Linked DNA regions of Notamacropus eugenii. The protein of the gene in region 4 interacts with the protein of the main gene of each other region in a pairwise test. Links are inferred from orthologs where the notes say so. Each region holds a gene or a part of one and is shown on either strand. Other genes may lie near its edges.

Region 1 (7,734 bases), about 250 Mb from region 4:
TTGAGAATTTCCTATTGGTATCTTTTGTCCTTTATCTATTGGGGGAGGTTCTAACTAGATCTCAAAGCATCTTAGCATACTCTCAAGCTGGGCACTTCACAGTTCACTAGCCTAGATCTCTAACCTAAGTGACTTTTAGGAGGAAAGAATTGGCCCCAGCTAAATAATGAGCCCTTTCTCTCAGGCTTAGTGAAGTGCTGCACCCCACTTCTCCCCCTTTTCTTTAATTTTCTGGACCAGTTTAGCATTGCCACATTGGTGCTATAGGACTAATTTCTGACAGGTCACCAAGGCTTTTAAGTGTGGGGCTGAGCTCTTATTTCAGGCCCATATATATGTCCTGCCTCTTTCAGTCTGTTCATCTACTCTCCTGCAGAGACCTTTTGTAACACAGAATGTTACCAACTCTACATTGGGTCTCCTGTCTTGAACCCAGCAAATTTCTGCTACCTGGAGTGTTACCATGGTGCTGCTTGTCTGTTGGGGCCTGAGCAAACTTCCATAGCCTAAAACCAGGATCTCCATGGCACTGGAAAGGGAGAGGGGTACCAGGATATAGCACTGGGTTTTATTGCAATCCTGTTCTGAGTCCTTGGGTACTGTTGCAAGCACATGTACTGGACCTCAAGGCTGGTAAGATCATGAGTGGTAAAGGAGGGAGTGCTGAGTGAACTCCAGTACACCCCTCTTTCTGATAATTTGTGTGTCCCATGAATGACAAGATTTCTTAGCAGGACACTGTCATCTTGTCAAAAGTCCTGACAATGAAAAGGAACATCATATCTTCTTTTCTTTCTGATGATGTAGCAAGGTGTAATTTTTTTAAAATTCTCTTTCAATCTGAGAGACATTCTAGTCATGAGTATCTGTTGTCTTTCTTTCTCCTCTGATACCCCAAAACACAGGTCAAAAGGTAGATGTGGCTGACACTGAAAAAATAGGTATAGCATAATACAAATGACATTATTCCTGGTAGAGTTGGTTCCTGGTTCCATGGAGATTTTTGTTCTGGTTTCAATGTCCCTAATATGTTTATCTGTGTGGTTGAAATGTTCCGATTATGGGTCCCCTTGATGGTAAAATATTTCCTATATTTCTTGATGTAAGTCAGAGCCAACATCTCTTTGAGTATTATACTTTAAAAGTCACCACCTCGGTCTGAGGAGATGTTTGCAGGAAGTCTATCTGCTGAGAAATATTTCTCCCACAATATTTTCACAGTTGTGGAGATTTTAAGGTTTTGTATTGGAGATGCTTCACTATGCCTAGTAAAGCAGTCTATCACAACCAACACATGACTTATGTTCTTGTTATCTCCTTCCAGCAAAAGAAAGTCAATGAAAGTGAGTTCCAAATGTTTTTTAGCACTTATATTATTCAAGTAAACCATATGTGTTAGTAGTACTTTGCAAACAGTGAGCAAAAGTCTCACATTTCTCAGTGATATCCATATTGGATCAGTAAATTATCTTTCTTTCTAGCTCTAGAATCCTTTCTTGACTCATATGTCCAAAATCATCACATAGAGCTTTCATGGCTGTATATGGCTTGGACATTATCAACTGGTTCCTGGTCCTGTGAGTGAGATTAATAACAGAGATGACCTCTAAATAGATAAGCAAAGAGGTATATGACTGTTTGTTGTTGTTTTGCTGAGAGGCTTAGCCTCTCAGTTCTCTCCTATCCCTGACTCATACTGGCTATATGACCCCTGACATATTTGACCTCTTAGAGCTCTAGGCAACTTTCTAAGACTTCTATGAGGAAGTAATAACAGTACTCCATTGCACAGCTCTAACTTCTGTCATTGTCTCAATGATACAGTGCCATTAGAAGACTGACTCTTGAGTTATTTGACAATGCCACCTTAAGAAGTCTTGGCTTGTATTACTTCACATAGCCCTTTGTAAATTTTCTGTTCCCTTCAGATGATCCACAGGCAACTGAGGCAATGAAAGTTGGTTCAATGAAATAAGATTCATATATGCTGCTGGTATGCAATCTGGACCTGGTGGGTTGATTCATGCACACAACCCATATCCCATTTATCCAGTGGAAACACATTTGTCTCCAATGCCACTTCTAGGTACATTACTCAGAAACCTCTCCTCTTTTCAGGTTCACTCATTCCATATATATCACTCAATTAAAATTCTGATAGCTGTTTCCCAACATCCAGGACACACCCCTTCTTTTCTCAATGAATTCAGTGCCTGGCTTACAGTCTTTCTCCTCAACTTTTGTCCTTATTGTAGGGGACTTTAACATGTATTTTGATACTCTCTCAAACACCCTAATTTCATCATTCTTCACCTTATTGATTCCTCCATGATCTACCCCTTCACAGGTGCTCCATCAGCCACCACTACACCATTCATATGTGGAACCATCAGTTACAACAAATGGAAAAGTTTTGAATGCTGTGGATAAGTTCACTTACCTTGGTAGTGTACTTTCCAGGGATGTACACATTGACAATGAGGTTGAGGCACACATTGCCTGAGCTAACTCAGTGTTTGGGAGGCTCTGAAGAAAGGTTTGGGAGAGAAGAGGTATTAGACTGACTACCAAATTGAAGGTCTACAGAGACATTGTGCTGACCTCATTGTTATATGCTTATGAAACATGGACAGTCTACCAGTGTCATGTCAGGAAACTGAAAAGCTTCCATTTGAACTGTATTAGGAAGATTCTGAGGATCACCTGGCAAGATAAGGTACCAGACACTGAAGTCCTTGCTCGAGCTGAACTGCCAAGTATTCAAACTATGCTTCAGAGAGCGCAGCTCTGATGGGCTGGCCACATTGTTCGAATGCAAAATGCACGCTTGCCAAAAAGACTATTTTATGGAGAACTTGCAAGGGGCAGGCAATCACATGGTAGCCAGACGAAATGACACAAGGACACTCTCAAGGTCTCTCTCAAGAACTTTGGATTTGACTGTGCAACATGGGAGACACTGGCACAGGACCACGCAGCATGGCGTGCCCACATAAGAAAAGGTGCTATTTTCTTTGAGCAAAGCAGAATTGAGACAGCACAAAGTAAACATAGGATGTGCAAATGTGGAATATCCACCCAAATATTCACATGGACTATCTGTGCCCAACCTGTGGTAGAGCATTCCAAGCTTGTATTGGTCTGATCAGCCATAGTTGGACACACTGAAATTTCACTTTACAATGGTGATGTCATTTTGGTCCTCTTCAAAGGACAACAACCAATCAACTCCACCCCATCTCAGCCCCCCACAAATATGGTTACATCCTTGATCTTGCCAACACCTACAAATGCAGCACTTCCATGATCACAAACTCTGAAATTCCTTTGTCTAATCACAATCTGTTGTCATACTGTCCTGCCTCAGCCACACTCTGATTTCCAAGCTCTTTTCTTTTCTAGACCACCCCTGCACTAGTTACACTACCTTCCCTTCCTCATCTTGAGCAATGGTGAACCAGTTCAACTCTATACTTTCGTCTTCTTTTGAGTCTCTTGCCCCATTATCCTATCACTGATCTTGCCCTGCCAAGCCTCAGCTTTGCTGCTACTGAATAAAAATGGAGGAAAACACAAAATTGTGCTGACTGGATGCCCAGAAATTTATGTTATGTAACTTCAACTGAGCCGTTACTATTGCAAGGCAATCCTTTAACACCTCCCAAATAACTTATTATCTGGTTCACCACAGGAGCTCTTCCAAATTTTTCCATCCCTCCTCAAAATTCCCATGGCTAGCCTTGCCCCTACCTTCCTAACTGAGGACTTTGCCTCATATTTTACTGAAAAAAAAAAATTAGGGCCATTTGAAAAAAAATAAACCTCCCTTTTCTCTTCTCTTCATCTCATATCACCCAGATGCCTTCTACCACTATTTCTCTCTTCATCCTAGTATCATATAATGATGCGGCCCTTCTCCTTGCCAATGCATAGCTCTCATTTCATCCCATCTTATCCAGAAGACTGCCTCTCTTTCATTCTCACTCTCACCTGTCTTCAATCTTTGTCTGTTTTCCTACTGCCTACAAACATTCCTATGTCTCTTCCATCCTCAAAAAACCCTCAATCGATCCATCCCTCCCCACTAGCTTTTGTCCCATGTATCTCTCCATTTTGTGGCTAAATTCCTTGAGAAGGCCATTCACATGAATAGGTGCCACTATTTCCTTTTCTTTCACTCTCAACTCACTACAGTCTGGCTTCTGACCTCATTCAACTAGAACTGCTCTCTCCAAAATTATTTACGATCTCTTAATTGCCAAATACGATTGGCCTTTTTCTCAGTTCTCACTCTTCTCCACCTCCCTGCAGACTGTGACAACGTCCATCATCCTCTACTCTAGTTCTCCTAATTATTCTTAGCCTCCCTGGTTGTACTTTCATCCGGGTTCTACCGCTGTGTGTCCCTAGAGATCCGTCCTGAGTCCTCTTCTCTTTTCCCACTATACTGTTTCGTCGGGTGATCTCATCAGCTTCCACAAATTCAGTGATCATCTCTGTGCTGATAATTCTCAGATCTACTTATCCATGTCTAATCTCTCTGCCGGCTTCCAGTCTCCCATCTGGAACTCAACACATCCAAAACGGAATTCATTATGTTCCCTCGAAGTCTCTGGGCTCCCTCCACGCTACCACTCACCAAGGCAAAAGGGGCGGGTCTCTCACGCAATCAGCGTTCTGATTGGCTCCCAGACTCCAGCTATTCCGATTCCGGGGCTTCACTTTTGTCAACAACGCAGGAGAGCGCGAGGCCAGCAGGTTTGTCCTCGCTGGCTTCCCATAGTCCGCAGGATTTCCGGGATACTTCAGTCGGGCTCAGGGCTGGACAGGGCTGGGATCCTGGCCGAGGTTACCGATGGCTGCTGTGTTTCTGGTGATGCTCTACGAGTATTCACCACTCTTTTACATCGCCGTGGTCTTCACCTGCTTTATTGTGACCACCGGCCTGGTGCTGGGATGGTAAGGGCCTGGGGTAAGGGGGGAGCCGGCTTCTAGGTCGGGCGCGGGGGACGTCGTGGTTACCGGGGAGGGGATGACAGCGGGAGGAGGCCAGGGACGCGGCCCCAGGCTCGGGGGGAGTCCTCGCTGACTCGCCTCCGCCCGACGGATAAACACCCCTTAGGCGTCACGGGCCGTAGGATCCCCACGTCCTTCCCAGGAACGTGAAGCAATAATTAGCATTTCTAAGTGCTTCAGAAACGTACTCTTTAGGCTGAATATTGAATTTTTCTTTTTGTCCCTTATTTATCTGGAAGGTTCGTTTTTTCCCCTAAATAAGCGTTGCTGAAATTCATTGAACGGATAATGATTAAGTTCTTCACAGTGCACATAAAAAAGAAAGAAAAAATAGGGATCTCTCAAGTATCAATGCAGTTTAGTTTGAAAGAGAATGCAGAACGCAAATGAAAATGTAAAAACACCGAAAGGAGAAAAGAGTTTGCAGTGAGTTCTAGGAAAATCAGCCCATATGAAGAACACTTTTATGTTGAAACTGGAAGGACAACAGAAGTGTGAAGTGGTACTGGTCCTGACTGGGATTTCTTTAACAATGTATTCTAACTGGTTACATAAAAGAATGATCATGTTTGGACTGTTTTTCTTGGTGTACAATGGGAGGGAGTTACAGTGGCACTTGAGATGAAGTTGGAAAGGGTGACTGGACCTGACTACCTTACAGACAGAAGAAACCCAAGCTGGAAGGGGCACAATTTTAAAAGAGTGTAAGGGCAGACTTTTCAAGATCTCTCAGAGGATGGCAAGCTGCTGAAGTATGAAAAAGATTAGAGATGATAAAGTAAGAGAGAAGGCATCAGATACTACTTGCTCATGTGCCTACTTTTCTTATCTTTAAAAAAGATCTTTGATAGTATCTTATCCTTATATTGAGGGTGTCCTTGATAATTAGAAGAAAAAAGTCAGCTTTTATAGCTGACCACATCTTTATAGACTCACAATTGACCTGAAAAGCATATAGAATATATGATATCACTTTAACTTATTTATTGATGTTTGAAAAGCATTTCACTGAGTAAAATGCTTATAGCTTTAAGGACTGATCTTTAATGAAGTGTCTCCAATGCACACATTAAAATTATATAATTTTAAGAGAGCTGTGAATACCAAAATAATTTTGTTCTGTGATAGGATTTTAACATTAAGTGAGAAAACTGGGAGACATATGTTTCCCTAAGAGGTTTTCCACTGATGAGGAAAATGCCCAGTATAGAATCCAAACAGAAGTTTTTTTATTGTTGATCTTGTCCTTCAAATGATTTTAAAGACTTAAAAGGGAACTCAAAGATCATGTAGTCCACAGCCTGTACCATTCATATTTTGCTAAAGATTGCATTACGATGAAACCTTAAGGTCCTTTCCAATTCTGATATTTTGTGAATACAGTATCATACAATATCCTTTACAAGTATCATCTAGTTATGTTACTGGCAAAATGTATGAATAGCTGGGGAGCTTTCCACTACTTTTCTTTGCCAACCTCAAAGGAATTATTTGACAGAAATAGACTTATTACAACTAATTTCACATGATGACAACTCTCCACTCCTCATCCTGAACAATATGAAGAACTCATGAGAACTTTGATACCTGGAGTTCTCATGGTACTATGACTCTACCTGCCATTGTGAGCACAAGTTTGTGACTCAGTCTGGAATGTGCTCATATTACCCTCCCACCACTACACCCTAGGTCCCTTACCATCCCTGCACTAGAGCTGGAAATGTTCAACCCTCTCATTTAACAGATGAGGAAACAGTCCCAGGAAAATTAGGTGATTTGCTTAAGGTCACTCTAGTGATTGTCAAAGGTAGGATTTGAACTGAGATCCTTTGACTCCATAATCTGTGCCTTTCCATTGTGTACCATGCTGCTGGAGAAGTGGGGAGAGAAAGAGAACCAAAAGACCAAACTGTCTAAAAAGGGAAAAGAAAAAACCTCAATAAGAGCCCAGTGCACTTGAAGATAATTCCAGTAGAAAAGTTTCTAAAAAGAGGAAAAAAATGAATAAAATCTCCCCAAAAAAACCCCAAAGTACACTTAAATTTTATGATATCATGGTAAATGAACCAGTAGTGCCTGATGAAAGAATCTTGTGGACTCCCCAGAGATAATGGGATAACAGCAAGAAATTCAAGAATGGTTTCAAAGAAAAATAAAATTACTTTAAAAAACAACAACAACCAAATAATCATTTACCCTCAACTTGAAGACCTTTCTCACTCCTCACCTCCCTTAGCAGAAAACCCACTATCCTCTGAAGTAGCCCCTCCTACTTATAGTTGGTGCTGATTTTTATGAAGTTTATTCTTCTAAAGAAATCTGGCTCTCTGCAGTGTTTCCCTTTTTTTCCACTTTCTGCTCTCAGGCACCAAGTAAAATAAATCTGATCTTTCTTATATATTTGATTTTGATTATCTTTGTTTCTCTAGGCTAAAATTCTTAGTTCCATTGATACTCATATATCATGCCCTCCAGTTTCCTCATTTCCTGATCATCTTCCTTTGGATACTCTACAATTTATTAATGTTCTTCATAAAGTGTGATACCCAGAACTGTGCACATTATTCTGGATATGATCTGACCAGAATAGAGTACTTCAGGACTTTTACAACCATCATTCCAGACATTAGAATTATGCTACTACAACTTAATATCACATTAGCTTTTTTGACTGCCATGTCACACATACCATTGACTCATCTTGATCTATGTTGCAGT
Region 2 (7,857 bases), on a different chromosome or scaffold from region 4:
ATTTCCTTAAAAACACTTTAATTAAATTAGTGTCCTCATTGTCTCCTAAATTTATCATTTGCTATCTTACCTCCATGCTCAGCTCATATTTTTTTCCAGGGACTATAATGTCCTCCTCCACCTTTTTTCTTTCCATTTTTCAAGGTCCAATTCAAACTTTATCTTTTCTGGGAATCTTTAGTTATAATCTCCAAACAATACATTCATCAACTATACCACTCATTTGTCATGTCATCTTTTCATTCATTCATCTGTGTTTTATCTCCCCAACAAAATTCTAAATTACATGAAGAATCTTACTTTGTGCTCTTCTGTATCTCCCCTGCCCTCCCCCGCTCCCTCAACTCTAGTACAGGAGCTAATTAATATATATCTGCATACTGAATGTGCCTATTTTGGACCACTCACCTCGAAGACAGGCCACACCTGCTAGGAGCAGTAGCAATGTCCCAGCATAGTGAGAAAATGGCACCACCTTTGACATACACAAGTAACCTGAGAAGAAAAAAAGAGCTGAGTTCAAGTTCTGCTTTCATCCATTGTTCCTCCCCCTCTATTCAATGGCTAATTTGGGGCATTTGCTTACCATTCTGGGGAGCACTGGCTATACCTAGTAACAGAATAGGGTCCCTTCTCCTAAGACAAGTTTCTCCATTTAATCAACATCCACACCACTCCAAACCCCAACCAACCATTTAACCCCACACTGACCTTTCCTGTAAAAGTAGAAGAAAGCCAGGGGGGAGGAATAATAAGAGATGGACCAGAGGACTGAGGCCTACAGTAAAAAATGGACAAATGGACAATCAGCTTTTTTTTTGCTTTGTTCTGACTGCTCCCCCATTTCCAACACTGGATTCTGACCAATCTGGAGAATGAGGCATACCATACTGCCAGGAAAAGTAGGTTGGAACACCACATTGGGGAGAGGAAGTTGAGGAGTGTGCTTTACATATCAGAAAGTTAGAAAGTATGTTTCATTCTGCCAGAATACACTCTTCCTAGACTGATTAAAAATGGTGATGAGAAGGCTAGAAGATACTATGCAAACTACCATACAGGGAAGTCAAAGAGTGAACGGAAAGGATAATAAAAAGAGATACATGGGAGAAAAGGGGTAGAGATAGATAAGTGCACTGGGGAAAAAATGCATTTCCCCAAGTCAGACAGCCTCAAGAATATGATCTGCTCAAACTTAAAAAGCACAGTCCTTCTTTTTATACAATTTGTTTGGAGGTTTTCCATCATTGCTACTTGGTACATTCTGGTCCCCAAATAACAGTAGAAATGCTAACATGGGAACCCTAGTGGAGAGAAGTGCTGTTATTGAAGCAAAGGAAGCTTGGTTACTTGAGGAGACAGGTCTATGGAGACTGTAGTATTCAGTACCTGGGGAAGGTCCCAACTGAGTAAACATGTTTTCCCTATGATCCATACTGTCCCAGAGGAAGCTGTATGGCATCCCAAATGGGGAGGTAGAACTCCTCAGCTGAGGCTAAAACCCTTTGCTCAGAATCTAATCAGTCTTCCAGACTGGGAAGGGGAACATAAAAAACGACTGGGTCTGGGGAGGTAAGAGTGCAGAGGACCAACTCACCAAAGCCAGGATGCTGTCAGCATGTTTCTCCAGGGCCCTGGGCTGATAATAGGACTCCTGCAAAAACAGCCCAGTCAGGGTCCCTTTTCTCCCATCTTACCCCAACCCCAGTCCATTTCTCTTCCTTTTAGTGCCTCAGCTCCCACTATTTTATCATCCCACCTGTCTGCGGCCTCCACCTCCCTTTGGACCCCCAGGCAAAAGACTCCAGATGTGGGTCTCCTCGCCCCAGAGGACACCACCTCAAGATCTGGCTCCAATACTCTCTCTCTCCAGCCCTCATCCCAGGGACAATCCAAGGAATTAAGACTATAGAAGAAAGCAATAAATGACTTTTGTCCTCTTTCACAACTCTCTTCTAAGAAATGGATGAAACCCAGGCGCTGGGAGGGCAGAATGAGAAAGTGCAGGCGAAAGGGCAAAGCGTACACACTATGACAGGAGAAGGTGAGGATCTTTTACGAAATCGGAATAAACTGAGAAAGCCTGAAAATGTAGTTGTGATTAGAAAAAGAGACTGGGGAGTCTGTGAGAATGGGCACAATAAGGGAGTAGATATAAAACCTCCCCCACTTCTGAAAATAGAATTGCTCTGTGGGTCTCTTATGGTCCAGTTGAGTGCCCCCCCACAATGGACAGAACCATCACTGCTGGGGGGGGGGGGGGTACCGATAAAGTTGATGGGAAGTCATTTTGAGAACGAAAGTAAGAGCTTAATAAAGGGAAGACACACATGAAGACAGAACAGGACAAAGCGACAGCTCGAGCCGAGACAAATGAGTTTTATGGCAACCCCCATCTTCCCACCCCACCCCTTTTCCCATTTCTAGAACACACCCTTCTAGGGTCTTCCTGGCAGCACCTGGGGTCTGGCATGAGCCATGACAACACACATGGATGGGGTGGGGTACTGTACGGGGGAGTGGGGGAGGGGGTGTAAATAAAAAACGCAAACAAGATAAATGAAAAACAGGAGAGAAGTGAGTGGATGGATGGAGAGAAAGGAAAAAAGGCTCACACCCACAAGCATTTAAGTTTACACAGTAAAGACCTAGATACGCAGTATTTGGGAGAAATAAGCAGGTTAACGTGCTCCCCCTAATTCCAACTATGGGTGCTTCCGGGGGGCTAAAGCAGCAACGGGTTTGGGCCGTACCATGACTCCAGCCAGGGGAGAGAAATAAAGGACTCACCCAGGAGCCAGCCGGGGAGGTGGTGATGGCGGCCGGAGTCCCAGGAACGCTAGTCTGAGTCCTTCCTGAGTCTCTCTCCCGGTAGACCCGGTAGAGCCGGGGGCCTAAGACGCAGCTCAGCAGCTTCGCCATCGCCCCGGCTCCAGCCGCGGCTCTTCCAGCGGCAGGTTCCCCCCCCCCCCCCAGTCGCCCCGCCTTCCCCCAAGCCTCTTGGGTGTGCGTGCTCTCTTACGTCACCACGTATAGTGCTGGCGTCTTCCTTAAACGCGCAGCACGGTCTTATTTATCAGTTCTGGGAGGTAATTGGCACTGCCTGGACTTTCCTGGTACGGGAGACTTAGCGAGGAGAAAGGCTTTAGGAAAAGCCTGGACTAGGCGGCCTGGACTTGGACTTGGACTTGGACTTGGAGCTATTCAGCCTGGCCGCGTGCAGGGCACTTTATAGGTGCTTTGATGGGTACAAAGTTTAGATTAAGCAGGGCTGTGTGCTGGGCAGTGTACTAGGATCTGGGAAGGATACAATGTTTAAGTACGGCTGAGTGCAGAGCTATTTGCTGGGTGCTGGGAACAATAGAAAGTTTAGAACAGATTAAGTTGTGCTGTGTACACAATTGTTTGCTAGGTGCTACGTAGGATACAAAGTTTCAAACTAATCTTTAGGCACAGTTTTGCTCCCAAGCCCTTAAGCACTCCTTGACTAGAAAGCTCGAGCCGCCTCACCTCCTCTTGGAACCCTCTGTTTCCTTCAAGTACCATTTTCTACTTCTGGGGTTCCCTCTTGGGGTCTCTGTTCCTCCTAGGGGTACAGAGAATATTTGAAACATTTCAATAGTAGTAGTAATAGTGAAAAAAGTTATGGATTTGAAAAAAGAACCACGAGGCAGCATGAAGTGGGTGGGAAAAGGTATAGTACCTTATCTGAAAAATGTGTAAGAGACAAGGTGAAGGAATAATTTCTGCTAACCAAAACCAGGTAAGTGAAGTTTGGAAAGGAAATCTTTTTCATATCAAGTACGAGAAAAATCTAACTTCAAAGAAATGCAAGCTAATTAATAGTCATCATAACCAGAAGCACCCAAATGGTTTGAAATTAATGAAGGTACAAAAAATTTTAGAATACTCTCGAAAGTACTGTGGAGGAAATTCTAATTTTTATAATAATCGACCTGACATTGGAATGAATATACTAATAGATTAGATTTCTCAGAATTGGTTTTTCCAACTTGTGAGTTAAGACTCACAAGCAGCTTGAACTGATCAAACTTTGACAAGGCTGACAATCACTGGCATCCTTCTGCCTGCAAACGTAAAGTGCATCAAAGACTGTAGAATGTGTGCCCCACAGAACTCTTTTCCTGTGATCCACGAAGTAGCAACCCGCCAAGGACTTGAGCAATATTGCTCCCACCTGACTCCAGAATTGTATTGTCTTCCATTTGTGGGTTTGTCATGGGATACTATTGTGGCCCTGGGAAGGATTGTAAACCACTTTCTCACCTCCTTTCCCATTTGTGATTTATGTATATAATCTGTCTTCACTGCAGCAAGGTGGAATTCTGATCAGAATTCCTGATTTGCAATTCATTGTTCCTCACCATGAAACTACTTAATTAAACAACTGTCTTATTACTGGTACTTTTTCTCTGATCTGCTGTTTGTCATTCTCAAATTAGAGGCTAGCTCATTAAAATCCTGTTAAGAGTACATATCATGTTCTTTTTTAAAAAATTAAATTATTTTATTTGTTTGTTTGTTTTCAGTATTCTACAATCACTTCCATATATCTTGGATTTTTTCCACTCCCTCCTTGGAATGGCATACACTTTTATATGGGTTCTACACATATATTCCTTTTAAATCCATTTTCACCTTAGTCATGTTGCACAGAAGATTAAAATGAATGGGAGAAATCATAAAACAAAACATAATACAAAAGAAAATGGTCTGCTTCATTCTGCGATCAAATTCTATAATTCTTTCTCTGGTTGTGGAAGTCATTTTGTCTCAAAAGTCCATTGGGAATTTTTTAAGTCCTTGCATTGAAGTGAAGTACTAAGTCTACCAGAAAAATTCCTCGCACACTGGTTGTTACTGTGTACAAAGTTCTCCTGGTTCTGCTCCTTTCACTCAGCATCAGTTCATATACGTCTTTCCAGGCCTCTCTGAAGTCTTCCTGTTCATCATTTCTTATAGCACAATAGTATTCCATTACATTCATATACCACAACTTGTTCACCCATTATCCAGTTGATTGGCATCCCCTTGATTTCCAGTTTTTGGCCACCACCAAGAAAACTGCTATAAATATTTTTGTACGTGTGGGACTATTTCCCATTTTTATGATTTCTTGGGGATATAGTCCTAGAACAATTTTTGTAGACCTTTGGGCATAGTTCCAAATTGCTCTCTAGAGTGGTTGGATTAGCTCACAACTCCAACAACAATGAATGAGTGTTCCCACTTTCCCACATCTTCTCCAACATTTATCATCTTCCTGTTCTGTCATGTTAGCCAATCTGATAGGTATGATGTGGTTTCTCAGAGTTATTTTGGTTTGCATCGCTCTTATCAATAGTGATTTAGAGCATTTTTTCATATGACTATAGATAGCTTTAATTTCTTACTCTGAAAACTGCCTGTTCATATGTTGGGGTCCTCTAGACCATTTCAGGAATCCCTAAACCCCAACCCAAGGCTCTTGTCCAACAAGAGGCCTTGATCTAGTGAGTAATGAAATGAGGCGGGAGACAAGGTAGTGGGAACTCCGTTTATTCCAGCTAGCTCACATGCATATATAGTCTTAATTACATGAACAGTCCTAAGCCTATACATTGAACCTATCACCTAATATTATTCCTTATATGGGTGTCTTCTCCACTGGACATCTGGAACTGGACAAAGAACTGCCATGTTGCCAACAAAGACAAGACCCTTCCTCCTGAAATCCATCTAGTTCCACCCCTACTGACAAGCCCCCAGGTTATCTAGGCAGGCTCTCAGTGTGGCGTCCTGCGATGGACAGGGGTCGACTCTAACTCGTCCCGTTACATTCATATCCTTTGACCACTTATCAACTGGGGAATGACTTGGGTTCTTGACTTAGTTCTCTATGTATTTTAGAAATGAGGCCTTTATCACAGATACTAGTTACAAAAATTCTTTCCCAATTTTCTGCTTCCCTCCTAATCTTGGTTGCATTGGATTTGTTTGTGCAAAAAGTTTTCAATTTAATGTAATCAAAATTGTCCATTTTTATACTTCATAATGTTTTCTATTTCTTGTTTAGTCAAAAATTTCTCCATTCTCCACAAATCTGATAAATACACTATTCCTTGCTCCACTAGTTTGTTTATAGTATCAGTCTTTATACCTAGATTATGTACCCATTTGAACTTCATTCTTGTGTGCAGTGTCAGGTTGCCCAGTTTCCCCCACTGTTATCCATCCAGTTTTCCCAGAAATTTTTGTCAAACAGTGAGTTCTTATCCCAGAAGCTGGGGTCCTTGGGTTAACTACACATCACATTCTTACAGAAAGGTTTTTAATTTCAGTTATATCAATTTATTTTTGTGAATAAAGAATTCTCTGTCCTGATCCCAATCCAATCCAAAGCAAGAAACAAACTGGAGACTAGACATGATATGCAGGTATCTCAAAAATCATAACAAGGATAAAATTTGGTTGACAAAAAAAACAGAGCCAGGCCTTACTATTTATATGACTGTTTAGATAAGTATTGAACAAGTCCATATAATACTAAAAAAATGCTACAAAAGTTTTTCTGAAAAATTGATACATTTTAAGTCATAAGTAAAGATATGGTAACTTATTTATTTCCTTTCATTAAATATGGGGTACAGGAATGCTTACTGAAAATTAAGGAGTATAGAGGACAAAAAGAGTTGGAAACCCATTTTATATAAAGTCTTTCTTGGCCTCCTTGGCAGTTGATGTCCTTCTTCCTTTCCATAATCACCTTTTGTTTGTTTTGATATATACATGCTATTACACCCATTGGAATGTAAGTTTCTTGAGCGTGGCAACAGCTTCCATTTTGCTTTTGTATTCCCAATGCTTGGTACAATGCATGGACCATAATTAATAAATGCTTGTTGCTTGATTGAAGGGGTATTGAATACATACAAATATAACTTGGAAATGTATAGGGCATTTGAAAAACTGTCTTTCCTGATTTGGGCACACCATATGAGCATGATGAAGCACTAAGGGAGGTTGGTACTTTTAGATAATGTATCAATCCTCTTATTGATCACTAAGAAGGAAGAGTTCCTGATTGAGTGGGTCTTTAGAAAGGGGGTGACTGGATCCTTCAGGGGTGGAGCCAAGATGGCAGAGTAACAGCATGGACTTTCTAGAGCACTGCCCCCAAGCCCAGCCAAATATCTGTAAAAAATGTCTCTAAACAAATTCTGGAGCTGCAGAACCCACAGAATGAAGGAGTGAAACAAATCTCCAGTCCAAGACAGCCTGGAAGGTCACCGGGAAGTGTCTATCGCATCACACTGAAAGCAGAGTGCAGTCCAGCATGGGCCATGCTGGCACAGACAGAACCTGAGCAGGGCTTGGGGAGATTGAATCTCTCATACCTGTGGTGGTTTTGAGACTTCAAAATCCCAAAACACTGAGGATAAATTGGAAGGTCAGTGGGAAAGAACTGTGGGACCAATGCAGGAGAGTGGAGTGGTCAGGCCCCAGCCCTTGGACAGCTGAGGGGGAAGGGGCAAATGAACCTGCCATAGCCACAGCATCAGCAGAGCAGTTGCAGGCACTGTTTCTGGAGCTCTAGGACCACAGACTGTGGGAGGATCGAATAGCTGACAGTACATCCCCCACTCCCACTGGAAGCAGAGAACTATCTTGACAAAGAGCTCTGAAGTCAAGTAAATGACTGAGGAAATGAGCAAAAATCAGAAAAAGAATCAGACTCTAAAATCTTACTTTGGTAACAAGGAAGACCAAAACATGCAAACAGAAGACAACAAAGTCAAAACTCCTCCATCCAAAGCCTCCAAGAAAAATATGAATTGGTCTCAGGGCATGGAAGAG
Region 3 (6,952 bases), on a different chromosome or scaffold from region 4:
GGGCTGGGGAAGAGGGGGAATGAAACCTTCACAGAGCAACCCAAATGAAGCTGTGGCCCCAGGCCCTTCCCCCGGACCATCCCCTTTTATTCTCAGACATCCTTGAATTGGCCTGCATGGGATGGTATTTCTGGGGGAGGGGGGAAGGACCTGTCTAGGAGGCTCATTTAGCCTCCCTCAGTTTCCCTTCAGTCACCAGAAAAGAAAACATCAGAAAAGGGTTTTAGAAACTGCCCCTGTCATTCATTAGCTGGGTAGGTCTCTTCATTTCTATAAGCTTTGGTTTCTTCCAAAGAGCCCTAGCTCCGGTTCATGAACTAGCAGATTGCTTGTGTCCAGTGACATGGTTGTATCAGTACAACTTTTTTTTTTATGTTAAAAAATTGTGCATCCTAAAATGAACCTTTATTCTAGGGGTTCTTCACTTGAGGTCTACAGACTTCCAAGGTATCTATGGATAAATTCATGGGGACCATAAACTTGGATGGAAAATAATGACATCTTTATTTTTAGTAATTGGAAGTTTGTATTTCTTTCAGTTATGATTTTTAAAAACATTATTGTGAGAAAGGATCCATATGCTTCCCCATAATCCCGTAGGGAACCATGATTCCCAAAAGGTGATGAACCTCTGCTTTATACTGAGACTTTTTAAGATAAACGCAAAAAGCCAAACTGTAAGCTTCCAATGAAACAACAGGACAAAGTCCTGTGGAGCTGGGATTGTAGATAAAAACAGAGCCATAGGAGCAAAAGAATGTAGAGCTTTGAGGTCTCCCGGATAGCTCAGTTTTCCAGGGGAGATGTCACGTGCCCAAGGTCACACATATAGCAAATGGAGGTAGATGAATTTGAGCCCATGGTCTCAGTTTACCAACCTGTGCTGTGTCCCATCCTTGACTTGGCTCCATCTCCCCCAGGCTATGAGATCACCTATTCTAAGCTTTATCTTCTTCAGTATTCTTGTGAGGATCAAATGAGATGATGAATGGAAAGGGCTATAATTCTATGTAGGGCAGCTATCCAGGGCATCCCCTCCTAGATGGCAGGGGACAGTGGTTCCTCAAACATTACTATGCTGAATAAATGCCTCTGGAGTGAATGACTATGGGATGAGGCAGAGACCCATCCCTTGACATATATATGCCTCCTCCCTTGATACCCCCTGCCCTGGGTATTAAATAGAAATAAGCTATAGAATGCTTGATAAGTACTTGTGGTGGAATGGTCCAAGCCACCAGGAAAACTGATCTCTGTGTGGAATTAAATCACACAGAGCAAGGTATCTTTGCATTGAGAGATAGATACATTTCTACAGCAGGCCCTAGATGGTCTGATGTCAGGATGCAGGACATGCCTGTTCCACAGCTCTCTCTGTCCCTATCCCATCAGTTTCCCATGGGGTAGTCTTACTCTGTGCTTGGGTTAAATAGGGAAGGTCTGCCATTTTACAGAAGGTGGCAGCCACTTTGTGAGAACAGGGGGGGTGCTGTGGGCCTGACTTCAAGTCTGCTCTCTATAGCCTTATGCAGGTCACTTCCTTGGGTGCAAAACCAAGATTTTAGACTCAGCCTGGGAGATTCTTAACATCCCTGACATCTTGTGTTGGTGCCCTCCCCCTGTTCCACCTCAGGTAGAGTCTAGCTTCTGTTGTTCAGGGAGGCTCTTCATCTGTTAATGCTCATGAAGAGGTGAACGGGTCAAACTTTACTCCTGTGGATAGTAACATTTTGATGGAACCCCAAACCTCCTTGGCCATCAGTTGAACTAGGACCCTCTTGAGTCCCTTCCAGTTCTAGGGGTATAATCCAATGATACTGTGTAATGATATTAGAGGAATAACAGACATTTTGGGGCTGGGGTCTTGCCTATGCCCACTAAAAGTCACATAGCTCTACGAAGTCTCTTTCCCAGGTTTCACAGTGATCTAAGACAACACTGAAGGAAAAAATAACAATCTCTCTCTCTCTATATATATATGTATATACAACAATCTATATATAACAATCTCTCTGTATATAACAATCTATATAGTGCTCTGTTTGGTATTCTAAGACCTTCATACCCTGATCCCCTCCTCCGTTTCTAGTCTCCTTACACCTCACTTCCCTTGTGTTGTCTTTGATCCAGTGACCCTGACCTCCTGGCTGTCCCTTGCAAGACCCTCCATCTCCAGACTCTGGGCACTTTTGCCAGTGTCCCCCATGCTTAGAATGTTCTTCCTCCTCACCTCTGCCTTATGACTTTTTGGGCTTCCTTTAAGCCTTAACTAAAATCCTGCCAGTGACTAGAAGCCTTTCTGTTCCTCCTTATTCTCATTTCCATTTCTCTGAATTTATTCAGTCTTTATTTGGGTTGTAAATAGTTTTTCTGTGTTCTCCCTGAATTAGACTGGAAGCTTACTTGTAAATGGGTTTTTTTTTTTTTTTTTTTTTTTGCTTTTGCCTTTCATCATATCTCCTAGGCTTGGCACAGGGCCTGGCACGATAGGTGCTGGATGCTTGCTGACTGTCTGCGTTAGGGTTTATTAGGTGCTTTTCCCCACACCAATTTTATTAGCTTGATTTTAACAGTCAGTAAACTAATGCTCTGAGTGATCCAAGGCCCCCCAGAGAATCAGTGTGGGATTTTTCCTATAGGTCAGAGCCTCCCTGGGCCAGTATGGAGCTCTTTCTGCCATCTCCCAATTGCTCTTAATCTATTCTCACTTGCCAGAGGATAAAGGTGGAAAGGTCTGCCAACACAGGTGATTTAGATGCTTATTCCTTATCCCTAATCAAATCTGCTGGGCCACACTAACTCTCTCATTTGATACTTTTAGATGGAGTTAAAGGGGATAAGGCCACCTACCTGTGGGGTCCTGTTGGGACTGTCCAATTGATGGGGTCAGAGCAGCCGAAGAAAGGAACCTTTAGTCAGCCAGCCTTCTGCAGGTAGGTGTGAAAGCAAATAGGGGAGGCCTTGGCTAGACTAAGCTGAACCCAAGCAGGTGGCAGGAAATACCCAGCGGTAGTCCCCCTCGTCCCATGCCCTGCGATCACCAGCCACCCCAGAAGATGTTGCAAATGGAAACATCCTAAAACATCTTAGTTTCGTTTCCTGAAAGGGATTCCCTGGGGGACCCTGGGGAGCTGTGCCAGGCCTGAATTAGAAGATCTTTGAAGTCCCCACCCAGAGGGCAGGTGTAGAATGGGGACCCTGAGGGAGAGAAAGGGCTTGTGAGAATCCCCAGCAATTTGGTAATGGCTTCTGCAGGATGCCACTTTTCCCTTTCATTTCATTTTGGTGGGGAAGAAGTATCTCTGCAGTTGGGATCCAAGGAGAGTATGTATTGGAGCCCCCTTTAGAAATTAGTTACAAATCTGGACTCATTTTTTTTGTTTTGTTGATTGTGCAGACTTTAGAAAGTGTTGGAGAAAATGTGAATAATGCACATTCAACTCAAAGGTGTGTCTTGCCTGCAGTCTCCCCCCACACCCTAGCATGTTAAACACTTACAGCACACTCCTATCAAAGGATCTTCAGATTTTTTTTTATTATTAATTTTTATTATTAGAAAAAAAAGGTTATCAGATGACTCATTCTGCTCTTCTTCCTTGGGCTCCACATAATAAGCCATCTTGTATTTCCATGTACTTCCCTTTCAGGTGTGTAAAGTCATTCAGTTCAGTTCAACAAGCACTTTATTAAGCATCATGTGAGATTTTGATTTTAACCAGCCTTGTGATTTCACTGGAATAGGAAACTTCCAGCGAGGACATTGCTTTTATGTCTGTGTGTGTATGTGCGGGCATCAAGTCTTCTCAGAACATCCCTCGATCCTACTTTTCATGGGATGTTACATGGTAGCAGCCTGACAGAGAGGAAATCAGTGAATGGATATACTCACTTGTTGCTCTACTCCCCACATTCAGTGGTGTCTCAGGAATAGTGATTCCCGTGTCAGTAAGCGACTGAAAAATAGGTCTGATATGTTGTGAATGAAAGATATGGTTTACTAATTGTGGAATAGTAATTTAGTAGTGTCTTAAATTTAGTATACATATGCTAAATCCATGTGCTCGGAATGAGGTGTTACATTTCAGGCACTCCCTAGATAATTTTAGAACTTAGTCAAGTTAAACTTAATAGACATTTGCCAGTCAAGGATTTATTATAATTTATTTATTCATAAAGCACTGCATTATATGCAGAGAACTTTGCTGGGTGGTTGAAGTATAAAAATAGAAGCAATATAGCCCTGCCCTCCAGTTTGCATCTGGTGAGTGGGGGTAGGTGGCAGTGGTTTGGTGATTTAGAGATATGGCCTGTACCCAGATAAGTAAATATCGGGAATGCAACGGAATTTGATGAAGGAGCTGCTTGCAATTGGTAGTATTAAAGAAAGCTTCCAGCAGGAAGAGGCAACAGCTAAGACTAGTGACCTATATATGCATATGTGTGTGTGTGTGTGTGTGTGTGTGTGTGTGTGTGTGTGGTTGAGATCCTTGGAAAATGACTCCCATAGGTGGAAAACATTGGGATTACATTGGACTACCCCTGAAGAAAGTCCAGAGAGGAATTAAAGGAAGAGAAAGATTTGGATAGGTGGGACAAAGGAAGAAGGAAATTTCAGTTGATGAAAATGTGTTGAGGTATGAGGAGGAATGTCGATTTCTGGGTAACTGCAGTCAGTTGTTTGGCTAGAACAAGCAGGGCCTTTGAGTGAATGAGGTAAAGCAAGTCTGGAAGAAAAGACAGGGTTAGAGCCAGACTGTAGAGGCCCTCTGATGCCCAGCAGAAATCATATCATGTTGTAAAAGCAATGGGGAGACACTGAACATTTTTGTGGCCCAGGTGACATGGACTAACTGTGCCTTATTCATCTTGCAGCTGTAGGGAAGGTCCACAGGGAGATAAGAAATGGGAAGCAGAGAAAGTCCGAAAGATCCGATGATTTAGACAAGGGAGCGGAAGGGACTAAATTAGGGCAGAGTGTTTTCTGCCAAAGTGTCTTGCCCAAATCACATTAGTGAAATGTCTGAGATGTGACTCAGAACCCAGGATTTTCTGGTTTCCAGCCTCCTCCTATTCTGTCTACTCTTCTGTTGAAGGAGGGAAAAACAATGTTAAGATTTTAAATTCACTTTGGAAGGATGGTAATACTCTCAACAGACCTTGGAACTTTTGGAGGAGGGGCAGCTTTAGATGTGAGAAGATAGTCACTTCTGTGTTGGACATTTTTATGCTGAGATCCTAATGACTTCAGTGAGACAACATACTGAAACTCTGGGGATGCAGCCGAAGCATATTATATCTCTGTATCTCTAAGATTTTATATCTCTAAACACTTATCAACAAAAGAGAAAAAGGACAAATCAATAAATTCAGCATGCAACTAAAACAGTGAAAAAAAAAGAAATGATTAAACTGTTAAGGTAATGACTGAAAATTAATACTGATTGTAATATGGACTGTCTAAACCTCTTATCATGACAATGTCAAAATTCTAGTAATGTTCTTATGATGGGAGAGGAACCTAGACCCCTAAAAGGAAAAGACCATGTCTTTGAAAGCAACCCAGTGCCTGAATTTTCCCATACATTAACTCAATTGGCTTCCCAATTTTACTGTCACTTATATACCAACTCTTAAGATATTTAGTCTGAATTAGGTTGAGCTGAACCACACCTTAGGTTGCCCCAACCCAGGGATGTTGCCTTGGGGGAAGCCCAGCTCAAGCTGGATCTCAGCCATTGGAATTTATGGCATGAAGGGCAAAATAGCCAGAATGAAGTGGTTTTCCTTACCCAAATTGCCAAGAGCCACTGGGGTTTCATGACCAGGCTTTTCTACCTCATACTGTCTTCTCCTCTCTCCTTCTAAAACTATACAAACTTTCTCATGAGTCAATTTGGTTGGGAAGTCCACTTGACATCCCCCAGGATGGCATGTTTGCTATGCTGTTATCTCAGTTAAAGAGGCTTTATTCCTCACCTCATAGTTTTGATTTATTTCAGGACTTGACGTAAAATGGTGGCAGCATTGGTAGCATTCATTGAAGATATCTTCCATGGTACTGAGTGTGAGCTTCTGGATGCCCTGTGCCATTCACAACTGCCTTGTGCCCAAGTCCTCAAGACCCCTCCCTCCTGGACCAGGTAAGTACATAATAACACATAAATCTAGACTCACCACTTTTTTAATTGAGAATTGGTACTTGATGGAAACAAGACACAAAAGAACACAATTTAAAGTCAAACAAAAAATTGAATTGATCATTCTAGGAGTTGGGTTTGCCTTTTTTTTTTTGAGGGAAGAAAACCTTAATAAAATGAATAAGCTTCTGATAATCTGATAAAAAGAGAGGCAAACCAAATTGATAATATAAAAAAATTAAAAGGGGAATGTATAGGAAATGAAGAGGAAATAAAGGAAATTATAAACTGTTTTGCTCAATTATGTACTAACAGAACTCATAATGAATTGGATGAATGCAAGGTATCCCAAAAGTCATAGTGTAGTTTAAAGCTTTAACAGCTGTATTTACAAAAATATAAAATTCTCAGTTTAACAGAGTAAGACAGAGAGAATTTTATGACTTAATCTCAAAAAGATCAAAAGCAAGCAGAGCTGTCCATTTGCACCACTGTTATTTGATATAGTTCTAGAAATGCTAAGTTTAGCAATAAGAGAAAAAGAAATTGAGGAAATAAGTACGGTATAGGTAAAGAGGAAACATCATTTTAGCTCTTTTTGCATAGTTCTTTATAGTTCAGGCCTAATAATAATAACTTCAATAAAACATCAGGAGACATATACATGTATGTATGTATGTATGTATGTACATATTTAATATGAGTTGATCTGCAGAGAGAAGAACCAAGGGGCCTAGTTGAGGGTCTTGCCCATGAGAGATACTACAAGAGTTTCCTTGGCCATATGTATTCCCTTCAAATGTGCCTTATTACCT
Region 4 (7,704 bases):
CACAGATTTTCTCTGCCACACTCCGAATAAATGGGACATCCAATCTTTGAAGACATGACAGGACATACTAACTCTCAAAGCAGCTTGTACTACATTTGGACAATATACCATTAGAAAGTTCTTAACTTAAATCAGAATCTGGTAAATGTCATCTGTTGGTTTAATTCTATTGCCTGGGACCAAGAACAAAAAAGAATCCCTCCAGCTAATGACTGTCCAAATGTGTAAAGACAAGCTGTTATTCATCTATACACACACCAGCTTCCCAATGGCCTTCCTAAACTATGGTTCTTAGATCTGAAGATGATGTCTTCTAAATGTGCCCTGGTCAGGGCAAAAGGACATGAGGACTAATAATGCAACTTTGGATCACTGGCTTTTTTTTTTCTGATTTGTCACACTTTTGACTTACATTGAGCTTGCTAAAATACCCAAGTCCTTTTCACGTAAACTACTATTTTATGTCAGAGGCCTATTCATTGAATGGGTGTATCTCACTCAGAGTGAGAATGTGATAAGACCTTGGCTTAAAAAGGTCAAGGTCTCACACTGCATTCTGAGCCATCTCCAGTCATCCTGATGAATATCTGGTCACTGGACCCAGATGACTCAGGAGAAGAAAGTGAGGCTGGTGACCTTGCCCAGCCCTCCCTCACTCAAATCAAAGTCAAGTGCAAGTCATGTCATCATCTTGATGTCATGGTCCTCTTTGAGAACGAAGGACAAACAACTATTTTATATATCTCCCATCCTAAATTCACGAGGTTGATTTCTTTGAGCCCAAGTGTAAGACTACATTTATTTCTATTAAATTTCATCATCTTAAACTAGGCCTGCTGAAACTATTTAGGTTATTGATCTAAAGACTAGCCCCCTGCTAATAATATTAGCTATCCCTCCATCACTGAAAATTTTGTCAAGAGGTCATCTGTGCCTTCACGATATTGAACAAAAAGGCCAAGGAGACAGCATCCGAGCACTCCACTGGAGTTTTCCCTCCAAGCTGAGTTCATTCCAAATTTACCTATCTGTACTATTGTATCTGGTTCTATCTCCCCACCTTATCTAAAAGGCTATCAAATGCCATGCTGAAATCTAGATATCGTGTCCAAATCATTATTCTGATCTACCCATCAAAGGAAATGAGTCTAGTCTGGTCATCATATTCTTAATAAACCCATAATGACTCAGCCTAACCATGGGATTTTTCCATCTGACTAGCAGCTGAAAGCTTCCGTATGTGTTGTCTCCTCTATTCAAAAGGTGAATTTCTCGAAAGCAGGGGCCATCTTCCATTTGTACCTCCAGCACTTATTTAATCATTCTTTCATTCATACGTACTGATCATCACTTTTAGATTCAGTTTAACAGCAAATGCTATAGCCACCCTATTCATCAACAAGCATTTATAAAGTGTTCACTATGCTCCAGGCGCTGTGCTTCCTTTTGGAGGATACTATACTTTTATTAATGCTTCCCAGAATGTCTTAGTTTTTTTTTTAGAAACCACTTCACCGTGCTGTTTCATATTGAAGCAATCAGCTAAAATCATCAAGTCTTTTTCACAGCAATTGTTAAGAAACATCTCCCCCTTTCCTATATTTGTGCAATTGTCCTCTTGAACTTACTTGGAGTTGCCATTTCTAAGTTTAATCATATTAGCTTGGGCACGTTGTTTCTGTTGAGGTATTTTGAAATGTGATTCGGACATCTGGAACATTAGCTATCCCAGGTTTGTTGCCCATAAATTTGAAAAGCAGACCTTTTATGGCCATCCTCAAATGGTACCAGGCATGATACCCGTGACCATGAAGGAGTCTCACCTTAGTAAGGGGGAGAGTCTCAGGAAGGGTCAACCCTTCTTTCTGTAGCAGCCTCTTCTCTTCATCTGTCAGTATCAACTGAGGAAACTCGTGCTGGAGAAAACAGGAAAATGACATGTGACAGGGAGGGACCAAGGAGTAAATAAAGTGGGAAGAAGACATCTGGAGCTTGAGGAGAGAGAAGTGTGGGGTTGATCAAAGCATCCTGATATTATCAGAGGTGATCATCTCCCCCTTACTATTAATGTTTGCCCCTCCTCCAGATACCTGCAGTGTCATTTCTTCCATCTGCAAGGAGACCCTTGATTCTTGAGCCACATCTCTGAGACCATCATCATCTGCAGGAGGAAAATAATTAGAACCAAGAGCCCTGGGCTCCTAGTTTCATCCCCCTTTCCATGTCCCTCCCTCAGAATCCTCTTTCTGCCTTCCCAGTCACTACCTACCCGCATACATGATTCCCCTTTCCCAGCTTACCCAGGTCAATGTAGACATCATCTTGGGAGGAACCTTGTACATTCCAGCTCAGAGAGTAAGTGTGATCAGTGTGAATGAAGCTGTAGCTAGGAGGACTTGGGAGGGATGGTGAGGTGGGGGGTCCCAGCAGAGACATCAGGAATTCTTCTGCTTCCCACTCATTCAGCACCTATACAGCCACTTAGTTCAGAAGCAGGCCTTGCTCCTCTCCTCCCAGCTTCCTGTCCCAACTCTCCTTGGAATCTCTCCTCTTCATTTATAGCACCACCATTACCCCAACCAAGGCTAAGCCTGGCCCAGCCCCTACTCACCTCAGGAGGCAGCATCCCATCATCCTGCTGGTCCTCTTCCCTCTCCCCAAGGATTTCCCATAGATCTCCCCCTTCCTCCTTCAGGAAATCCAGCAGGTCGTTGTCACCTGGGTCCAGGACAGGCTCCATGGTGGACATCTAGAAGAAGGAGAAGGAATCACCATCCGCATCCTGATCCTCTTTTCCCCTCCAAAGGGTAGAAGGTGAAAGGCGGTCAGTCAACATTCATATTAAGCCCTTACAATATGCCGAGCACAGAGAATACAAAGAAAAGCAAAAGCCGTCCCTGCCATGGAGGAGCTCTGTCTGTTCTCTCCGGCCCCCCATCATAGAGCCCCAGAGGGGGGACGTTGGAAGCAGAGGGCCAGGGTCGGCCCGGCCCTGCCCCGGCCCCAGCCCCCCCCCCCCACACACACACACCCCGCCCCCCAAAGCAGAGAGCACCGGCACGCCCTCCCACCTACCCTGGAGGGCTGGAATGGCCACTTCTCCGCCTCCTCGGCCAGGTTTCCAACCCCACCCCTCGTCTGCTCCCTTCCACCTCTACGCGAACTGGCCAAATTTGGGGTTCTACTTCCCCTCGGGCCGTCTCTCCCCAGCCCGGACAGCCTCTCCCAAACCCGACCCAGCTCCAGCCTTCCAACACCACAAAAATGACGTCAGCCAGAAGGCCGCGGCATGCTGGGAGATGTAGTTCCCCCACGCCCGCCCGGATGTAGCCCGCACTCCGACTGCTGTCATGTATCCCCGAGCCTCGTACCCCTCGCCAGGCTTTCCGTTCCTGAGGTCGATCGGTCCCGCTCTGTGCACACGCAATGAGTTTTCTTTGTTCGTTTAGGTTTTATTGATGCCTTTCGTTTCCTGACAGCCACCAGCCCCCTCCATTGAACACAGGCGGGGAGCAAACACCACGTTCCGCACCCGTGGCCCCTCACCTCTGCACCAACAGAAAGTGCGGTCGCGACGTGAATCGGCGGTCAGGTACTTTCGAGGTGGTTTACAAAGGTGTGAGTGACGACGTGTTCGCTGTCCCCGTGACCACCCACGCACGCCCTTCGCAGACCGCTGAGAGCGCCCCTCCCTGCCTCTGTCACACACACACAGGGGCTTCCCGCTGGCCTCCCTGTCCGCGCGTGTCCCCAACTTTCCCGAGCCCACGCGAAGGGCGTGAGCGACCCCCACGAGCATCAGAGGGCAGGCGGGGCCCTTCCCTGGGGCGGAGGGCGGAAGGGGGAGCTCCCGGGTCTGCTGGGGAGACTCACACATGACACATGCCCTGCAGACGGAGGGGCTCGGTCAGGCCGGGAAGTCTCGGGGAAACAGGTGGGTCCGCTTTCGTCCGCCGGGCTCTCCGCGGGTCTGGGGCTGAGGAGGGGGCGAGAGGCGGGCTTCCCGCGGGGCGCGCCTCCCGGGCCCCGCCCCCCCGCCAGGGAGGCCCCGCCCCCCCGCCAGAGCAGCCCGCAGCACAGCGAGACGGGGCGGAGTGCGCCTCGGGTCCGCTAGGCTGCGCGCGGTAACGGAGCCGCGGCCCGCGCCGCGCATGCGCCGCCCTCGCTGCAGGGGAAGTTGCCCGGGTCTCCGGGCCGGCTCCCAGGCATAGAGAGCGGGGGCCAGAGCAGCTTCCTGCAGCAGCCAGGGCCGTAGAGGGGCGGGCCCAGGGCGCCGCCCACGGGTGGGGGGGACGCGCTCCGGGGACGGAAGTGGCGGAGAGTTCGTCAGTCGGCGGGAGGGCGAGGCCGGACCCCGGACCCGGGAACCTGGAGAGCGAACGAGTGAGTGACCTGGAGGGCGGGCCAACGAGCGAGAGGTCCCCGCACGGCCCAGGTAGGGCCGAGGCGGTGCCGAGCGCGGGGCGGGACCAGGAAGGACGGGACGGCGGCGGGAAGGGGCAGGGCCGGGCGGGGGGAGGGGACTGGATCCGGGGGAGGGGGCCCGGCCGCGGCGGAGGGTGGGGGGGGGGAGGGGGAGGGGGGAAGGCAGGGGTCGAGCGGAGGCCGCAGCCTCGGTCCGCAGCCAGGGCGGTCAGGGTGGGCGCCGCCGCCGGCTCCCTCCTTGGCCCGAGAGGTCAGGGTCCGGGTGTGTCCATCCTGCTTGTCCAGCTGCTTGGCGGGCGGAGTTGTGGTACCCGGGATGCTGGGGGGCGACAGTTATGGGGTAGCGGGGCGAGGCTGACGGGCCTGGGCTGTAAAGCTGGGGTTCGGGAATAGGGGGGAGCGGATCGTGGGGACGGGGGAGGTGAGGCGGGCCAGGACGGGGGACCCGGCTGGGCTTAGCGGGGTGGGGTGGGGCAGATCGGGAGGGCTCCAAGGCCGGGTGGGAGGGTGTTCGCTGGTCCGGGCTGCGGGGTCCGGAGCCGGGATGGCGTGCCTGGGTTTGGCGTTGGCCGGGTAGGTTCGGAGATGCAGGCTCAGGTGCGCCCCAGGTTTGGGGGAAGTTCGAGTTAAATGGGGTTGGAATTTGGAGCCGAGTATCCGATGGACGTTGGAGGTGTCCTGAGGATAACAGGAGAGATGTGCTGGCCCTTACTGGTTATTGAGATTGTGGGGCGACAAGTATGGAAGCGCTTCTTCTTGCCGGGTGCTGTGACAAGCCCTGGAGGCACAGAAAAAGGCGAAAACAGCGTCCCCGCCCGAAAGGAGCTCGAAGTATGATAGGGGAGACAGCGTGCAGACGTCTGTGTGCGGGCAAAATAGTGCGGAGTGATGGAGGATAATCTCAGAGCGAGGCATTGTGCAGTGAGAGGGCAAGCAGGTGGGATTTGAGCTGAGGCTTGAAGGAAATCAGGGCAACCTGGTTAAGATTTAGGCTCATGACAAATAGGCAAGCTCTACACTCAGGATTTTTGTTTTTTAGATCACTGTTAGAATACAGAGGGCAAGTTACGGCTAATATTAGGGATAGCATCAGGATTCACAGGTTTGGATAGTCAGGATTAGTTTGTGGGTCAGTGTTGGGGATTGTAGGATCATAGGTTTAGAATTGGAAAGGGTTAGTCAGGAATCAAATTAAAAGTCAGGGGTAGCACTTGAGTTTCGGGTCTGCATTACGGATGAATTTATCTTCCAAGAATCAAATTAGGCTTCAGGGATTAGGAATGGCATTGGTGTTTGTGGAGGGCGGTTAGCCAACCATGAGTCAACTAGCACTTGATAAGTGCTTGCTGTGTGCCAGACTTTGTGCAATGAAAAATACAAAGAAATGCAAAAAAGAAAATCTAGTTCCTGCCCTCAAGGAGCTTACATTCTGAGGAGGAAGCTTCATGAAATAAGTACCTAAAGAAGATATATAGAGTGAGTAGGAAGACCTCTGAGAGGGGAGATTACTAGCAGCTAGGGGAATCTGGAAAGGCCTACACCACAAAATGGAATTTGAGCTGAATTTTGAAGAAAATAGAGAAAACTTAAGAGTTGGAGGTAAGCAGATAGAGCATTCCAGGCTTGGGGAACAACCAGTGAAAAGGCAAGGAAACTGGAGAACAGCTAGGAGACCAGGCTAGCTGCGTGGTAGAGTTCACAGAGAAAAGACTGAAAAGGTAAAAACTCTAAATGCCAAATAGAGTTTAGATTTGATCAGGGATCCAAAAATTGGGATCATTGTTAGGATGAAAGGATGTGAGTAAGGGTTAAGGATAGACGTCAGTAGTCAGTGATTGGTTCAGGCATCATTGGTAGGCCATTGGGAATATCTACTAAATAATGATTTTCCACTTAGGGTCAGTGTTTGAAGTCGTTAATGTTAAGGAGATGAGAGTTAAAGGTCAGTGATTTTTTTCAGAGTCAGCATTAGGGTTCAGGAATTGGGTTGAATGTTTTGGTTAGTCATAGGTTAGCATTAGATTTAAATGGTTAGGAATCAGAAAGAGAGTTAGCTATTTGGACTAGGCTAGAAATAAGTCCAAAGGTTTAGGATTAAGGGTCAGGGTAAGAGTGAGTCAATGATCAGATCAGAATCAGTATTGAAGTTCAGGGATTAAATTCTGAACTCAGGCTTAGGATCATGGTCAGTTTGAAAGATCGTGGCCTACAGCAGTGCCTCAATCACGAATTGAGTTTAATTCCCCTAATTTAGACCATTTGTCCTCATTTCATTTGTAGTTATCAGAGCATCAAGATCCCCTTTGAGTGGGGAACTGTTGCTCCAGACTCTTACTTCTAGTTTCTGACTTAGTGTCCATGGTAACAGGGTTTCAGATTCTAGCAAAAGGCCATTCCATACCCAAAGTCAGTGGTTTCAGTGCTTCCCAAGTGGTGTGAGGGATAGAATGGGAAGTATTTGGTGGCACGGAAAGGGCAAGGACTCATTGCCTTCTTATTTGGAAAAGTATTACCAATTTGTCTGTGGGGTGGGGAGTAGGTTGGTCAGCCCTGAGGTAATAAAAAATGAGGTATGTTTGAGAATGGCTTTGTGCCCAGAAAGTTCAACCCCATTTTTCCCTCATTCCTTAGTCACTTAATTCCCATCCCCCTCCCTTGGGCCTGACTAGGCAAGAGGGTGGGAGATTATGACTTCCTGCTTTTCACATCCTCCTTGACCACCACCACTCCACCCCACCCCCATGTCTGTGTATCTATTTTTTTTGTTTATTTTTTTTTTAAGCAAAAATTCCCACCAACTTAACTTCCCCCTGGGTCCCTTACCATCTGCTGAGTCCCTCAATCCTGGATATGCTCTGAGCTCCCCTACTCTTTCAATTTGGCAATTCCCCAGTTATGAGCTTCTTCCAGTTCCCTGGTCGGCTCATAGATCTTCCTCCTCCCTCCCCAACAAGAAAAAGGGAAATGAGGCCTGAGAAGGAAGCTGGTCTCTGCTGATCACATCCCCAGCCTGGCCACTGACCACACCCAGGTCTTACCCTGAGCTTGGCCCAGCCACTGACCCCACCCTGATCTCATTCCTAGTTTGGCCAAGGAATTGACTATATATATTCTGATATCATTTCTACCCTTGGCAAGCCACCTACTCACTGCACTGTGATCTAACCCCAAGGCCAATCCAGCCACTTAATGTATTATACTCTCCCCAGCCTCTGGCCTCAGACCATCCCCCTTAAGAGATCTAGCTGGATAATCCAAGGTCTCTTGAGTCCTCAACTT

What was found.
Region 1: the proteins of CREB3 (region 4) and CGRRF1 interact in a two-hybrid assay, tested with the Homo sapiens proteins (2 studies listed by BioGRID and IntAct). The two-hybrid records come from large-scale screens. The link is inferred for Notamacropus eugenii from reciprocal best matches to the Homo sapiens genes CREB3 and CGRRF1.
Region 2: the proteins of CREB3 (region 4) and ABHD16A interact in a two-hybrid assay, tested with the Homo sapiens proteins (2 studies listed by BioGRID and IntAct). The two-hybrid records come from large-scale screens. The link is inferred for Notamacropus eugenii from reciprocal best matches to the Homo sapiens genes CREB3 and ABHD16A.
Region 3: the proteins of CREB3 (region 4) and MS4A1 interact in a two-hybrid assay, tested with the Homo sapiens proteins (2 studies listed by BioGRID and IntAct). The two-hybrid records come from large-scale screens. The link is inferred for Notamacropus eugenii from reciprocal best matches to the Homo sapiens genes CREB3 and MS4A1.

The regions. Positions count from the first base shown.
Region 1 is NC_092872.1:333,873,146-333,880,879, reverse strand, and holds the start of CGRRF1 (cell growth regulator with RING finger domain protein 1), read left to right. Parts: upstream 1-4,726; 5' UTR 4,727-4,855; coding exon 4,856-4,959; intron 4,960-7,734. UniProt on the Homo sapiens protein: Able to inhibit growth in several cell lines.
Region 2 is NC_092873.1:85,377,855-85,385,711, forward strand, and holds the start of ABHD16A (phosphatidylserine lipase ABHD16A), read right to left. Parts: upstream 3,013-7,857; 5' UTR 2,923-3,012; coding exon 2,791-2,922; intron 1,655-2,790; coding exon 1,598-1,654; intron 779-1,597; coding exon 712-778; intron 496-711; coding exon 409-495; intron 1-408. UniProt on the Homo sapiens protein: Phosphatidylserine (PS) lipase that mediates the hydrolysis of phosphatidylserine to generate lysophosphatidylserine (LPS). LPS constitutes a class of signaling lipids that regulates immunological and neurological processes.
Region 3 is NC_092873.1:12,243,030-12,249,981, reverse strand, and holds the start of MS4A1 (B-lymphocyte antigen CD20), read right to left. Parts: upstream 3,016-6,952; 5' UTR 2,851-3,015; exon of another isoform or gene 2,822-2,850; intron 1-2,821. UniProt on the Homo sapiens protein: B-lymphocyte-specific membrane protein that plays a role in the regulation of cellular calcium influx necessary for the development, differentiation, and activation of B-lymphocytes.
Region 4 is NC_092872.1:79,291,638-79,299,341, reverse strand, and holds the start of CREB3 (cyclic AMP-responsive element-binding protein 3), read right to left. Parts: upstream 3,015-7,704; 5' UTR 2,905-3,014; coding exon 2,854-2,904; intron 2,750-2,853; coding exon 2,612-2,749; intron 2,470-2,611; coding exon 2,301-2,469; intron 2,162-2,300; coding exon 2,091-2,161; intron 1,917-2,090; coding exon 1,824-1,916; intron 1-1,823. UniProt on the Homo sapiens protein: Endoplasmic reticulum (ER)-bound sequence-specific transcription factor that directly binds DNA and activates transcription. Plays a role in the unfolded protein response (UPR), promoting cell survival versus ER stress-induced apoptotic cell death.